3 linked regions of the Cricetulus griseus genome follow. The protein of the gene in region 2 interacts with the protein of the main gene of each other region in a pairwise test. Links are inferred from orthologs where the notes say so. Each region holds a gene or a part of one and is shown on either strand. Other genes may lie near its edges.

What was found.
Region 1: the proteins of Rabac1 (region 2) and Pbx3 interact in a two-hybrid assay, tested with the Homo sapiens proteins (2 studies listed by BioGRID). The two-hybrid records come from large-scale screens. The link is inferred for Cricetulus griseus from reciprocal best matches to the Homo sapiens genes RABAC1 and PBX3.
Region 3: the proteins of Rabac1 (region 2) and Rab1a interact in a two-hybrid assay, tested with the Homo sapiens proteins (2 studies listed by BioGRID and IntAct). The link is inferred for Cricetulus griseus from reciprocal best matches to the Homo sapiens genes RABAC1 and RAB1A.

Annotation. Positions count from the first base shown.
Region 1 is NC_048599.1:145,945,002-145,950,266, forward strand, and holds part of Pbx3 (pre-B-cell leukemia transcription factor 3), read right to left. Parts: intron 4,416-5,265; coding exon 4,174-4,415; intron 1-4,173. UniProt on the Homo sapiens protein: Transcriptional activator that binds the sequence 5'-ATCAATCAA-3'.
Region 2 is NC_048602.1:9,713,039-9,718,331, forward strand, and holds Rabac1 (prenylated Rab acceptor protein 1), read right to left. Parts: upstream 4,057-5,293; 5' UTR 3,939-4,056; coding exon 3,883-3,938; intron 3,711-3,882; coding exon 3,498-3,710; intron 3,259-3,497; coding exon 3,161-3,258; intron 1,141-3,160; coding exon 1,039-1,140; intron 962-1,038; coding exon 873-961; 3' UTR 724-872; downstream 1-723. UniProt on the Homo sapiens protein: General Rab protein regulator required for vesicle formation from the Golgi complex. May control vesicle docking and fusion by mediating the action of Rab GTPases to the SNARE complexes.
Region 3 is NW_023276807.1:86,261,859-86,267,223, forward strand, and holds the end of Rab1a (ras-related protein Rab-1A), read right to left. Parts: intron 4,308-5,365; coding exon 4,212-4,307; intron 2,577-4,211; coding exon 2,445-2,576; intron 2,101-2,444; coding exon 1,903-2,100; 3' UTR 1,283-1,902; downstream 1-1,282. UniProt on the Homo sapiens protein: The small GTPases Rab are key regulators of intracellular membrane trafficking, from the formation of transport vesicles to their fusion with membranes.

The DNA.
Region 1 (5,265 bases), on a different chromosome or scaffold from region 2:
TTTTAGTGGATTTGGGATGAATTCAAAGAGCAGCTTTCCAGATGCTTAAGAAGGGCTGGGAACCTTAAAATACTTTTGCCTTAAGCAAAAATGTATTTCAGTATAATTATAGTAGATAGCTTACAATGTGTCATCTCTATTACAGCAGCTGTAAATTACAACATGAATTGCCTGTATACAGCATTTCTTCTGCTACAAGCAGAGTGGGAGAACTGCATTGATCATGATATATGTTTTCCTTTTCAACTGAGGACAACACTGAGGTCAGATCTCATTTGCAAAAACCAGTGTGTCCATTCCCTTTTGATAACAAGGTAGAGAAACCAAGAAAGCACAGCTCAACCAAGAGCTTCAGTTCTTAAAAACAAGACTCATTAGCACCAGGGCTTAAGTTCATTCAGAATTCATCTATTCTAACAGCTAGGCCTCTAGCCATAGGAACATTGGAAAATACAGTAAAGGCATTTTCCAAGATTTGTAGCTAATCAAGAAGATGGAGGTTTGTCTCTCAAGCAGAAGAAAGCAATAAACTCAAGATGAAGTATGAAGGTGCTTGCTGGAAGCTCTGGGAAACTATCATATTCCAGCTAGGTGTCAGAGCAGCAAGACCACAGGAGAATGGTATTGTTTCCTACTGGGTAGTGGTAACATTTAAATACCTCACTATGCCCATCCAACATTTAACATCTCAAAAACATTTATAAGTGAAGTTGGATGATTATCTCTAAAATCATCAAATCTCCCAGTCTATGAAATAGAGATGGATGATCAAAGAACATTTTCCGGAGGGAAAGAACAGAAGTCTAAAGACAATCCTTCCCTAATAGGTAAAACTGAGCCTTGCAGCTTAGATGTGATTTTGCTCCTGCTGCAGCACTAGACTGCTCACTGTGAGTATGGCTGCGCTTTAAACTTGCCAGGTTCTTTAATTTACTGCAGTGGTGATGTTTGTTAATTTTATGGCAATCTAAATCTGAACAGGCTTCAGATACATTTTCATTACAGCTTCATTGCAAAACACAGCAGAGTAAATACCGCTTAAGATTCTGATGTGGTTTATTTCTTTGAGACTCACAGAATCTCCCAACAAAGCCTCTGCCTTGACATATACAGTCTTCCTACTTCCTGATAAATGTTCTGTCACTCAGCATCCCCATGATCACTTTTAAGGTGGAAATATATTTTTTGGAAGTCTTTAAGACAGTTGCTTTCATCTGTTTCTGTTTCAAACACAAACCAACATGGGCCAATCTGAGGATGCCTGAGTATGATAGCATGCATTATTTTCCAGTTCTGTGTATGAAGCAATAAAACTAAATAGACAAGGATGGCAGATGATCAGAACCTGATTTGATTCCTGATTCTTACACTAGTATGTGACACTGGACAATCACCTCATTTAGAGAATGGAAATGCAATACTATCTATTTTAGAAATGTCACTCCTTGCCCTCACTCAGCTATCTTTAACTATTCAAGTAATCAAAGCCCTTTGTTCTTGTGTCTAAACAGAGGAAAATTTCTTCCTGTAGAACAGCACTGACAAAAACACAGCTCTAAAGCTGTCCAAAGACAACTCAAGAGGTCAAACACCAATACATCATCTGTAAACAACTGGGAGCTTATGAAGTGTGTAAAGTAGAACTCAGCTGTATCTACCATCACTTCATCACAATCTGCCCACAGTGCTGCAGAGATTCCACATTTCTATACATGTCCTTTTGAACATGTTAAGAAACAGGAAGAAAACATGCATTAAAGTATCTATGAAGCCACTAACTATATCCAGAAATATGGTCCATTATAACATTTAAATTTGTTATTTCTCAATTTTATATTTAATTCAAATATGATCAATTACTTTATGTAGAACTTATATATAGTATGCATTTTTAAGGCAAAACACACACACACACACACACACACACACACACACACACACACACACACACACCCTAGTGAGATGATCCTGGTAGTAGCTGAGACTGAAGCCACTGATGTCTCATGGGAAATTTTTAGGGCATTTCTAAGATAAGAAGGCTTGAGTCCTTGCCTTCTGCTGATGGCAGCTTCATCCAACTTCTAACAGGGCCATCTGATGAAGCAGTAAATCTGGTATGAAGAAAGAGTACTGTGACAGAGGACAGTCAGGAACAACCAGTACAATGTGACAATTTGGTCCCCAATATGCCAGTTTCTATGCAAGGTGACTAATGGTAGTTGCCTGGTAAATATGCATAGACCTATTTAACATAAAGTTATGAAATTAGGATTATACTACAAACTAGAACCATTTTCTACTGTTTATGCTCAGGGCAACCTTTCAACTGTGACTTATTTTGTTTATTCTCAATTATTCATGTCAAATCAGAAAGCTGTATTTTTTTGGTACACATACACAATTTTTTCAAAGTTCTTGTCCGAACATTCTCTAGCAAAATTTATCCTTGCAAATGAAACATAGTTTTGAATACCAGAAAGTTTTGCCCCAAATTAGAAAATTTTATAATATTAATTTGCACTTCATTTTAACATGCATTGTATCTTTCTACTCTTCCTCAGAACACTCACCTCTGGGATAAAGATGTTCAATGCCATCATTCTCAGAATGTAAGAAAAGACAGGGTAAAGGGCCAACATATACAATGGAAACTATTTAGAGAACTGTGAAAACTCAGTACTAAAACCAAAGAGTGGCTTCCAGAGATCCATGGGGTAGGTAAGAAGGGGGAAAGGGAAAAGAGGGAGAGGGAGGAAGGGAGGGAGGGAGGGAGGGAGGGAGGGAGGGAGGGAGGGAGGGAGGGAGGGAGGGAGGGAGGGAGGGAGGAGTGCAACAAGAACCATTAGGGCAGTGGAAATGTTCTCAGGTGCTATAAGCATAGGCATCTTTCTGAGTGCACAGACTGCATGAGACTAGGACTGCTCCATAACAGAATGTGGACTTGAGGTGCTGATGTGTCAATGCTGGTTCATGAGCTGTAAGTAACAAACAGACCTCTCTGGCAGGTTGTGTTACTAAGTAAGCCATGCATATATGGGAGCAGGGAGCATGGAGACATCTCTGAGATAATATTGCCATGAAACTAAAACTGATCTTAAATTTTTTTTAAGGAAAGGAAAATCACCAGGAACACCCCTCCACCCCCAAAACACATATACATTTCCCACTAAGTGTATGGGCATTATGAATAACTGCTAAAATACAGTATCTATTTTATCAGACTCAACCTAACATCTATTTTTGTGTATGTTCAAAAGTTGACCTAATAGTGAATCTTCTAAAGACCTTTTAAATGAGAATCCATGTTAATGAGAAGTCCTTAATCTAAGTAGAACTATAGCCCTAAATTACTAACTAAAATATGTTAAAATTGATTACCCACATTTTACCATATTATGGTTAATCCAGGAAACACTTATTTCCCTCACATTTTAACTAATAGGGGTTTCTGGAAATCTGGAGTCATTAGGTAATTGATAGCATGCTAGAGTTAAATTGGCAATGTGACTTTCTGCTATTGGCACATAGAACAGTGACACAGCTTAAACTCAAAAGATACCTGAGGCTCAATGAAGTATGGCTAGTAAGATTGCTGAGAAGATTTTTAATTCCTTATTCTTTGTGATCAGGGTTTAGCACACAATGCCTACTCTACCCTATCCTGGAACAGTCACAATTAACCAGGAGTCTCAGCCTCAAATGATCCCAGAAATTCCTTCCACATAGTCGAGCACAATCCATAGAATTAATTCCCAGTAGGGTCTTAGAACTCACAGTGTATGAGATAAAAAAACAAACAAACAAACAAACAAACAAAAAAACTCACTATGCAATGATGCTTCTCTTTTTGTCAGTGGTTAAAGTTTATGAACAAAGTAGTGCCTAGGCTGAATTCTCCATAGCTCTGCATGGCACCAAGTGCAAGGTTGAAGGAAGTGGGAAAGAAGGGCTTACAGGTGTGCTAGTTAGGTACCATGAATGTAAAAACTGGAACAAAGGGATATGAGGGTTAGCTTCATTTCATGGCTCCCACAACACTCTTGGTTTTGTACATCATTTTTACTTATTTTAGTCTGTTAACACCTACCCCTTATGGCCCTTGGAATTGGTTAGTACAGTCTAGTAGAAGAGCAACAGAGGGTTTGTGCAGGACTGAGAGTGGCGGCTGCTGACCTGTTCATATTTCTCCAGTTCTGTGTGATAGATTTGTCTGATCTGGGTCAATTTGGCTCTGTAATCTGAGTGTTCAATAGAGTTATCTGAAGAACCTCCAGAGGCTGCTGCGGCTGCAGCTGCTGCCGCCGATCCCCCACCTTTCTCAGGACCTGAAACCCCTTCTGCCAAAAGCATATTGTCCAGTCTCATTAGCTGGGGGTCGGGAGGGTCTTCCTCCTGGGCTCCTCTGATGCTGAGACCTTCAAGGAAAGAGAAAGACAGAGAGAAGAAGCGAGAGACAGAGGACAAACAGTGTGAGTATTTTGTTTGAGAAAATGATCAAACAACATTAGTGTACTACAATTCATGCTGAGAGCGTCATCGCTCACATTTCATAAACAGGCTTGACTATGAGAACTGCTTTCAAAATACATTTACATGCATCCTAGGACTCTTTCTACACCCCTTCAGAATTTACCCCCAACTTGGACTCTTAGAAAGAGGTAAGTTTGACTTCTTAGAATATTCTAATTATCTGAGCTTCGGATTTAAATGATTTATACATAAAGTAGGAAGGAGGACCTAAGAAGAGAATATTGCAGAGATATAAATAAACTCATCAAAACATGGTTAATCTGTCTCTCTATACAGTTAAAGAAACATAATTTAAAATTCCCATAAAATAATTTTAACCTACAAGCTCTATCCAAAATTAGGAAATAAATAAGACTAGATGGCTTTTCTATCATGCAATCTCAAAAGCAAAATACATTCAATAGGAAGTAATTAGCTAGACTTAAATACATATTAAAAGGGCATTGCTAGGCATGTGCCAGCAAACTGCACAAGGGCACCAAATACAGAGTTTAAAATGTGCCACTGACACAGCAATTGAGTGCTGGGCACAGAAGTCTCAATCTCACTCTGCTTTTATATCAAGAACTTCCAAGTGATGCCAGTCAGCAACCTCTTCTGAGTACAATAGATCACAGCTGACAATTCATAGGTTTAATCAGGTCACACAGGCTTTCTGCCAAGATGTTTTCAGCAACACAGAAGACAAAGTTTTAAAATAATTATTGTGGTATAAAAAGCACTGGAGTCATGACA
Region 2 (5,293 bases):
CCTGGGCTACCTGAACCCTGTCTCAAAAACAAAGAGTTACTAACTGGTGTTCTTTGGGGTAAAAACCAAAGCCTCCTGCAGCGCCCTCTTCTCTCATCAAGCTTTCCCTGCTCACTCACCAGCTGAGTGAGTATACTGCCTCCTCACCGTTCTTCATGCCTCCTGGCACTGCTGCCTCTATGCCCAGAACATTGCTCTTTAAAGGATGGCAGCTGCTCCATCACTCATCCTCTCTGGCCAGCAGGGTCTTGCTATGCAGCTCTGGCTAACCTTTAGGTGTCTATGTGGATGTAGGCCAGGCTGGCCTTGAACTCGCAAAGATGCCCTAACCTCTGTCTCTCTAGTGCTGGGACTAATGGTGCATACTACCATACTCGGCAACCTTTATGATTTTTATTGTATGAGGCAGGGTTTTTCTGTGTAGACCAGGCTAACCTCGAACTCAGAGATCTGCCTGCCTCTGCCTCCTGAGTGCTGGGATTAAAGGCGTGTGCTACCTTTTGTTAGCTTTAATTATGTGTAGGTGTGTGTGCTCGAGTGCAAAGCACCTGAGAGGGCCAGAGGGAGTAGATCCCCAGCAGCTGGAGTTACAGACAAGCATGAGCTGCCATTGTGGGTGCCGGGAACTGAACCTAGTGCTCCTATTGGCTGAGCCACCTCTCCAGCCCCCGTTTCTCAGGAAACCCTCTCCTTACCTATAAAAGAGAAAATACCAGGAAAGCGTTTGCCAAGTAGCAACTGTAACAACTTTATTTCCAAAGACAAAGCCTCTCCTTGGAATTGAGGCCTGAGGTGGATGAGGGGCAGGCAAGGCCGGGCAGGACAAGGACAGACAGACCTGGCAGCCGGCAAGGCAGGCAGGTTCTGACATCTTACACAGGCTCCATCTGCAGTTCCTCTCCGTCTGAAGGCTCTATCTGGTGCAAGGCAGCATGGGAGCCGATGATCACCAGGGTGGCTCCTATAGGAGGATGGGTAGTTCAGGATGTGTTCTCTCATCTGGCTCCCAAGCTCACCAGACCCAGACCCTTTACTCACCCAGGACCCAGAAGACGGCCGAACCAGCACCTGCCAGCCAGAAGAAGGGGAAAGAGACACCGCCAGCCAGGGCGTACTGATGCGCTGGGCTCACCTCCCGGCCTGGGGACAGATGGTATTGGGCAGCTGTGCCCACCTGACCCTTTCCCAGAGGTAACCAGAGCCGCCCTCAGTAAGTCTAGTTTCTATGGCCTCCCATCCCTGATCCTGCTTCCCCAAACATAACCAGAATGAAACCACCTTCCTCAGCCCCAGCTCTGCTCTCTATCCCCCCCTCCCCAGGACCTCCCAAGCCACTTGTCTCTCAGACCAGGCTAGCCTCATGTCCCAGCCTGGATACCAGGACTCTCAACCTTGTGGCCCCATTGCCAGGTCTGACCTAAGAGGGTTTTTTTTTTTTTTTAAAGATTTATTTATTTATCATGTATACAGTGCGTGCCAGAAAAGGGCATCAGATCCCATTACAGATGGTTGTGAGCCAACATGTGGTTGCTGGGAATTGAACTCAGGACCTCTGGAAGAACAGTCAGTGCTCTTAACCCCGGAGCCATCTCTCCAGTCCATGACCTAAGGGTTTTTGTCTTCTTATTTTTAACTTATATAATTTTATTTATTACTTTGAATTACGTGTATGTACCCTGTGTGGCCATATGTGCACAAGAGTTCAGGTGCCCATGGAGGCCAGAAGCTGGAGTGACAGGTGGCCTTGTGACAGTCACCTGACATGGGGATTGGGTTCTGAGAACAAAACCTGGGTCCTTTCAAGAACAGAATTCAATTTTAACCACTGAGCCATCTCTCCAAACCATTATTTTGATTTTTTGTTTTTTAAAAACTTGAGACAGGGTTTCTCTGTATAGCACTGGCTGTTCTGGAACTCGATTTGTAGACCAGGATGACCTTGAACTCACAGAGATCCACCAGCCTCACCCCGAATGCTGGGATTAAAGGTGTGTGCCACCATGCCCAGCTCTCATTTTGATTTTTGTTTGTTTGTTTGTTTGTTTTTCGAGACAGGGTTTCTCTGTGGCTTTGGAGCCTATCCTGGCACTCGCTCTGTAGACCAGGCTGGTCTCGAACTCACAGAGATCGCCTGCCTCTGCCTCCCGAGTGCTGGGATTAAAAGAGTGCGCCACCAATGCCTGGCTCATTTTGATTTTTTAAAAGACTCTGAAGCCCAGGCTTGTTTTGAATTTACAGCAATCATCCTGTTTCAGCCTCCCAAATGCTGGGATTACAGGCATGAGCCAGAACGTCTGTCTGTCTTTGAAGTGTTTCACAAGAATCTGGTTTGTGGGGACTGGAGAGACGGCCCAGCAGTTAGGAGCACTTGCTGCTTTCCCAGAGGGCCTGCCTTCTGGGTGCTTAACAAATTTTGTAAGGCTAGGGCATGGTTGCATACTCCTTTAATCCCAGCACTCAGGAGGCAGAGGCAGGGGAAATCTGTGAGTTGGAGGCCAGTCTGGTCTACAGAGTGAGCTCCTGGCAGGCCGAGGCTACGTAAGAAGACCCTATCTCAAAACAATTTTTTTCAGGCTCTCCTATGTCTGGAAATTGTGTATGCCCTAGTGACTACTATCTGCCAAGGCCAAGTTCTCTTGTGCTTCAGGCTCTTCTCGCTCGGCCCTAGTCCATCTTCCTCTGGTAACCTGTCTGGGACCTGAAAGACTGTCACAGGTCTCCTTGGCAAACCTGGGATTTCCTCTCAGTGGGTCTTCCCTGACACTTCTCTTCCCAGTGGGCGGACAGGTCTCCGTTTCCCCTTCTGGAAATATCTAGTATCTTACCAGTTCAGCCCTGGGACAGAAGGCATGGGAAGGCAGACAGACCTAGGCCTGCACACGGTCGCCACCTGGTGTCCAGTGTGGGTACCTGCAGCGGATGCTCTCCCCGGGGAGGATTGGGAAGGACTGATTCATTTTACAGGAGACACAGGAGCCGGGGTTTTAGGGCTCTCCCTGGGTTTTGGGGAGCTGAGACTGGAGGGTATTCACCTGCGACCTTAAGGACTAAGTTTAATGACTCTAGTGCACCTCTCGGTGGGACCGACTTGATTCCCAAATATTCGGAGGTCTGCAGTTCTGTGGGACCTGGGGATCCGTTTGGGCGGGGGGTTTCTCACCAAAGAGCACAAGCTTGGACTGCAACGTGCGCAGATAGAGAATGTAACAGGCGCCAAAGAAGACAGCCAGAGCCACCAGCAGCATGGGGGATGTCACCCTGGAAGAGTGTGGGAGACAGGAGTCAGGCGTCTGAGGCTGTGTGAGCCGGCTCCCTCTAGCCTTGGGCATCACATGGGGTGGCTAGACTGCATCCCGGCTCGGGTGGATTCAGGAATACAGACCGACTCCTGGGTGCTCGGGTGACAAGGCCCTGGGCCTAGCTAACCGGCGGGGGGCGGGGCCTGGCAACAGGGGGCGGGGCCTGGCGCAGGAGGGCGGGGCTGCCGAGGCACTCACACGCAGTAAAGGATGAGGCCCAGAAACACGAACACGTAGTTGCTTTGGTAATACTCCACGTTGCGTACCAGGCGCTGGCAAAGCTCGCCCAGGTTGCGGGGTCGCGAGAAACGCTGCTGATCCACGAAAGCGCCCCAGGGCCGGATGGTCGCGCGGCGCCGCTCCAGCCACTCTCGGCCGGCGCCGGAGGGAATCAGCTTGGGCAGCAGGGTCCTGGAGGGCGGGGCGGGGCGGGGGCAGGTCAGCCGCAAGCGGTCCCAGGGCCCGGACCCCAGATCCCAGCACATCGCGGCCCCCGGGGGACATCTCCTCTGCAAAGCCCGGGGGCCGGGACGCCTGGGACCCCACGCTCGGGAGTATGGGGGGTTACACCCTGCTCGCTCACGTGGCGCTCAGCCCCTCCACCTCCGTATCCTTCTGCTGGTCCTTCTGGGCCGCCATGTCTACGCTGCGGTGTGTGGGATCGCCGCGGACAGCCTCGAGCCCCGCCGCACCCAGCCGGCCCCCGCCCGAGCCCGGACGCTCAGGACATGGCGCCGCTTGGCACTCTAGGGGGCGGTAGTTGCGTCTCCGAGCATTCTGGGAGTTGTAGTCATTGCGGCGTCAGGAGGTCGGTCGGGCTCGCAAGACACCTCGGGAGAAGTATGCCAAGAGCGCCGCGTGGGCCTCTAGGCATTGTGGGAACTGTAGTTTCAGAGCGTGCAGCGTGGGCTCTTAGGATGGGGCGTTTTTACCGGGAGTTGGCATGGCAGCTGCGGGATTCCGTGGAGGGTGCGGAGCTATCATCCTGACTCCAGACGGCATAATAATAATAATAATAATAATAATAATAATAATAATAATAATAATAATAATAATAATAATAATAAATAATTAATAATAATAATAAAAACATTGGCCGCAGCCTCAGATATTCTGATTCTGATTGGGCTGGTCTGGGGTGGAGTTCATTAACTTTCTCTTTCCTTAGAAAACAAAACAAAACAAAAATTATAGGGGCTGGAGAGATGGCTCAGATGTGTGAGAACCGGCTGCTCTTCCACTTCCAGGTGTCCTGAGTTCAATTCCCAGCAACCCACATGGTGGCTCACAACCATCTACAAATGTGATTTGGTGCCCTCTTTTGGCATATAGCATACATGAAGGCAGAACACTGTATAATAAATAAATTTTTAAAAATATTATATATGTATATATCCAGCTCTAGTCAATCAAACATACTCACGTGTACTTACACAGATACACATAACTTTTAAAATATCTTTTCTAAAAAATGGCTTCTGCCGGGCATTGGTGACTCAAGCCTTTAATCCCAGCACTCGGGAGGCAGAGGCAGGAGGATCTCTGTGAGTTCGAGGCCAGCCTGGTCTACAGAGCAAGTGCCAGGACAGCCTCCAAAAGCTACACAGAAACCTTGTCTCCAAAAACCAAAAAGAATTAAAAATAAATGGTTTATGTGTGTGTGCCACATGGGTGACGGTGCCTGAGGAGGCCCAGAAGAGGGTATTACATCCCCCCCCTGGAACTGAAGTTACCACCAATTGTGAGCTGTTCAAAATACATGGGCTGGGAACTGAACTCTAGTCCTCTGGAAAAGCAGCACGCACACTCTTAACTACTGAGTCATCTCTCCAAACCCTCTTTTTTATTTTCATTTAAAACATCTGTTTTATTTATTTACTTTTTCCAGACAGGGTCTTTCTACATAGCCCTTGGTACTCGCTCTGTAGACCAGGCTGGTCTCAAACTCTCAGCGATTCACCTGTCTCTAGTGCTTGGGTTAAAGGTGTGTGACA
Region 3 (5,365 bases), on a different chromosome or scaffold from region 2:
TTTAATATTTTATCATTAAAGACCCCATAATAAAATGTGTTGTCAGCAGCAACATCCTAAGCCCCCAATTAAAAGAATGTTTGCCTGCTTGTTTAAACCAAAGGAAACAACCTCTGACCTCTGTCACCTTAAATGCTAGCGTCTGAAAGAGACTTGGTTTCCCACAGTGAGACAAAAGCAAAGTCTAGGACCTTGAAGGTCCCAGTCAACAAAACTTCACACATGCAAAAATTTCACCGAAATAAATATATTATTTCTCTCATCATTCCCATCTAGCATCCATGTTTTCAGTTAATTTGGGGGGATTTAATTTCTACAATTAGGGCAATCAACATTTCCTGCTTTCTATTCTAAAGTTTAACCTCTCCTCCAACATGAGTTATACAATTGGAAAGAATAAAAAGTTGACACCTAGAAGTGGAGTCAGGAGGATCAGGAATTCAAGGCCATCCTTGGTTACAAGTGAATTTGAGGCCTCTTGAACTACATGAGACATTGTCTCAAAAAAACATTGCAGTCTCAGTATTGTGGTACATGCCTTTAATCCCACCACTTGGGAGGAAAAGGCAGGTGGATCTCTGTTAGGGGCCAGCCTGCTGCACATACTAAGTTGCAGGCCAGCCAGGGTTACATAGTGAGACTCTATCTCAAAAAAGAAAAGAAAAAAGATAAAGCAGGCATGGTGGTGCATGCCTTTAATCCTAGCACTTGGAGGCAGAGACAGGTGGATCCCTGAGTTCGAGGCCAGTCTGGTCCACGGAGCAAGTTCCAGGACAGCCAGAACTACACAGAGAAACCCTGTCTCTAAAAGCAAAAAATAAAAATCCCAAAAACTGGGGTAGGTGAGGTGGGGTGGGGTGGGTGTGTGGCATCTGCCAGAGCATGGAGGAAGCACCAGCACATGTTACTAGATCACTGCCTGGGAGTAAAGCATGTGCTGCTCTCCATCTCTACCACAGATGCATGAAGAAAGTTTGAGTGAAGCCACTTCAGACAACGGTTTTAGAGCTGGAGATGAAGCACTAGAAAGCACACATTCTAAACTTGTTTTCCATACACTCTGAGCTCCTTGAACCAATGAATTTGGTTCAGTCTACACAGCACAGAAGCTTCTCTAGGTCACTTAGCAGGTCTATTACTAGAAAGCAAATACTGGATGCTGTGCTATTATTAGATAGGTCTACAGTGCCCTTGTTGCACACACAAATTGGCTGTTGAGTATAATGCAAATCCCTATTTCCCTTTAACCATAAGAATTAAAACAATACTTATCACCATACAGTTTGATATTACTTCCAATAAGTACAATATTTATTAAACATATCTTCAGTTTTGTTACATAGTGTGCAACAAATTACAATATTCTGCAGCCACAAATTATATGCAGAGTATGAAGAAACTATTAATCAGATAGTGTAATCTTTCCATTTATAACTCTACAAGGAAGAACTAGCAAATCAGATCTTACATATAACGTCTCACTAAACTTTATGCATGGAAATTGACAGACACTGGTTGTGCTGTTTGATACAAAATGGCTGAACTTCATCTTCAGAAGACTAAACCCAACATCTAAACATGCCAATATAAACATCAAAACAAAATATATTCTAACCAACCACGGGAAACAATCTGGTATCAGGAAAGCAACAAGGATTACACACATTATTTTATAAACCAGCACACAAAGGTTTAAAACAGTTCTGAAAATGAAGTTAGCTGTCTTTGAGTCAAGGGAATAAAAAAAAAAGTCAGTATTGACCATTTACAATCTCTGACCTTGTGGAAACGGTAAGAATCTGTTGTAGTGCAGCTACATACAGTACAATTCAGGCAATTTTGTTTTTTCACTTGGGTTCAGATTGCGAATTCATTGCTGTGAGAAAAGGACGGAGGCAAATTTTAGCAGCAACCTCCACCTGACTGCTTGACTGGAGTGCTCTGGATTTTAACATTGGACTTCTCTGCACCACCAGCTGTTGCTCCAGGGCCCATTCGCTTTTTAATCTCGGCTGCCATCGTCATGAAAGACTGTTCTACATTCGTTGCATTCTTAGCACTGGTTTCCAAAAATGGAATTCCAAGGGAATCTGCAAATTCCTGAGAGAGTAATAAGGAACAATCAACACTGGAAAACCTTTCTAACTTGCTGTTAATGCTTTCTGAAATGGGAATGAAGGACTAAATTCACTGGCTTTTAAAAGTTTAGCCACTGTATGACTCCCGTCCCCATAATTAAAATTCAACTTGAAAATCAAACCTCGACAGGTGGTGGTGGCACATGCCCTTAATCCCAGCACTTGGGAGGCAGAGGCAGAAGGATCTCTGTGAGTTCGAAAACAGCCTGGTCTACAGAGTGAGTTCCAGGACAGCCAGGGCTGTTATACAGAGAAACCCTGTCCCAAAATTAATTAAGTAATTAGAAAATCAGACCTCATACATACCTTCGCTGTTGTGTAATCTACTACTTTCTTTGTGGTCAGGTCACATTTGTTCCCTACCAACAACTTGTTGACATTTTCACTGGCATAGCGATCTATCTCTTGCAGCCACTGTTTAACATTATTGAAGGACTCCTAAAGACAAGAATGATGATACAGTTTTGGATGCAACCAATGATCAACTGATAACAGCTCATTTTGTGGCAACTCTAGCTATAACTATAATGCAAGAAAAGAAATGAACTAATATATTACAATGACAATGTTCATCTAATGAATGATAAGGAGGACTGGCAGGCTTGAAGTGAAAATAGCTTATTTGGGAAGGGAAACAGTTTAATATTTAATGACAGGCAAACCAATTTTTTCTTTAAAGATTTTATTTATTATGTATACAGTCTTCTGCCTGCATGCAGATCTCATTCAAGGTGGCTGTGAGCCACCATGTGGTTGCTGGGAATTGAACTCAGGACCTCTGGAAGAACAGTCAGTGCTCTTAACCGCTGAGCCATCTCTCCAGCCCCCAGGCAAACCCAATTTTAAGTTGAAATTTAGATATTAACAAAACCTAGTTTCTGAAATTTAGTAGAATTCTGGTTTTTAAACTGAGTAGTGACACAGCTTTTATCCCAGAACTAGGGAGGCAGAGGCAGGTGGATCTCTGAGTTCTAGGCCTGCCCATTCTACAAAATCAGTTAGTTGCACGTCAGCCAGGACTACCTTAAGGGAGATCCTGTCTCAAAATAAACCAAACAAAAATTAACAACAAAAACTGGTCATGAATAACAGCAGTGTTACTACTATCAAAAAGATAACTGTTTGGCCCGAGGGTACAGTTCAGGGACTGACTACTTCCTGGCATGCAGAAATCTCTGAGCTTAAATGCCACTACAAGATAGTGAGTGGATGGGGAGGAGAAAACTAGTTTAAAAAAAAAAAAAAAAAAAAAAAAAACTTTTGGTGAGACCTTTTCCTTTTTCTTTTCTCAAAAATATTTTATGGTAGACTGGGAGTGATTGCACATGCTTTTGATCCCAGTGCTTAGAGGGCAGAGGCAGGCAGATCTCTGAGTTCTACAGAGTTCTAGGACTGCCAGGACTACTCAGAGAAACTCTGTCTCAAAACACAACAAAATAATGGTGATAGACTGGACGTTTAAAAGTAACATGTTCTGGGCTGAAGAGATGGCTCAGTGGTTAAGAGCACTGACTGCTCTTCTAGAGGACCGGGGTTCAATTCCCAGCACCCACATGGCAGCTCACAGCTGTCTGTAATTCCAGTTCCAGGGGACCCAACACCCATGGCAAAACACCAATGTATATAAAATAAAAATAAAATTTTAAAAAAGTAACATGTTCTGTCTGCTCTGGGTGTTGGCCTTTTTGAGATGTGATCTGCTGTGTTGTGCTGCCTAGACTGGTCTCAGTCTTCTGAGAGCCTATCTCAGCCTCCCAAGTAGCAAGAACCCAGGCACACGACATCATGTTAATGTAGCATTTTCTTTTCCTGCCCACATTCACCCATCTTTTGCTCCTAAATGTCTTCAGTTATTTCCAAATTGCCCATAAGTCACAAAGAGTTGATTTAACATTTGCTACAAGAAAAATGAGTGCTAATTTTTATTTTTTTTTTTAATTTCTCAAATGGTAAAAATAACTTTCAGATCAAAAGTATTCAAGGACATTCTGTCTACATAATAATTTCCAGGTCAATCAGAACTACACAGTGTGTCGAAAATCTACACACATACAATAGTCTCTAGGAACTCACCTGATCTGTCACATCATACACAACTATGATGCCATGGGCTCCTCTGTAGTAACTGGAGGTGATTGTTCGAAATCTTTCCTGGCCTGCTGTGTCCCACTATTAGAAAAGAATCAGGAAAGGCAAAACAATTTCATTACAACAGACTTGGGAAGTACAAGAGGAAACTGTAGATTATTAGGATCAGACACAACAGATCCTAATTCAATGCTTACATTATTAAACTGCACTGCAAGTATCAAATATGTTAAAATCCAGAAGCAAAGACATTGCCTACAATTTGGCTGGTGGTACTGACACCAAATTCTAAATTCTTTTATGCTAGGCAGTTGGCAAAAATAAGAATCCAGAGTCCACAGCGTACTCCTTCCTGGCTGCAGCCATTCATCCCAAATCAGGTTGTTCTGCCATGCCCTAGTGGGAAAAGGAGGTGTACTTCACCAAGTGAAAGTACTTCACCTCAATGAGCACGGTATTGACAGAACCAACGCTGGCTTTGTTCCTTTCTTTCTGGCTAAAACTAGACTGAGACTCAAAAGACTATGAATATGAAGATCTACGATTCCAACCTGACTCTTATCAATGTGCCCCTCTTGCTCCATGGTATAATAACTAATTTTAATGAAGATCTGGCCATCACCACTAAACATAAAAAGTGAAAGGAAAAGACTTACAACACCTGGAAGTAACAAACAAAGCCCAGCAAGTTGAAATACAATGGCTTAAAAGCACAATTTGTATTTAAAATTTTAAAACAATTCACAGAAGACTCACTCACTCACTCACACATGCATGCACACATGTGCACCTTTTCTTTTTTTGTGTGTGTATGATACATGCATGTGGAGATCTGAGGCTGAAGTAAAGTCTTCCTGGATTACTACTTGCCTTATTCATTGAGGCAAGACCTCTCAGTTGAACCCAGAGCTCACTGATATGACTCATAAAGCTTCAGTGATCCAGCGTCTTTGCCTTCCATGGACTGGAATTAGAGGTGGGCCCCACGCCTACATGCATTTTGATGGGTGAATTCTGATCCTCACATTTATAAGTACTTTATCTTCTGAACCATCTCCGGAGCTCATATGTACCCTTTACACACATCCCCAAAATTAAAAACACGCTAGCCACAATCTTAATACATACACTGCTAGGTA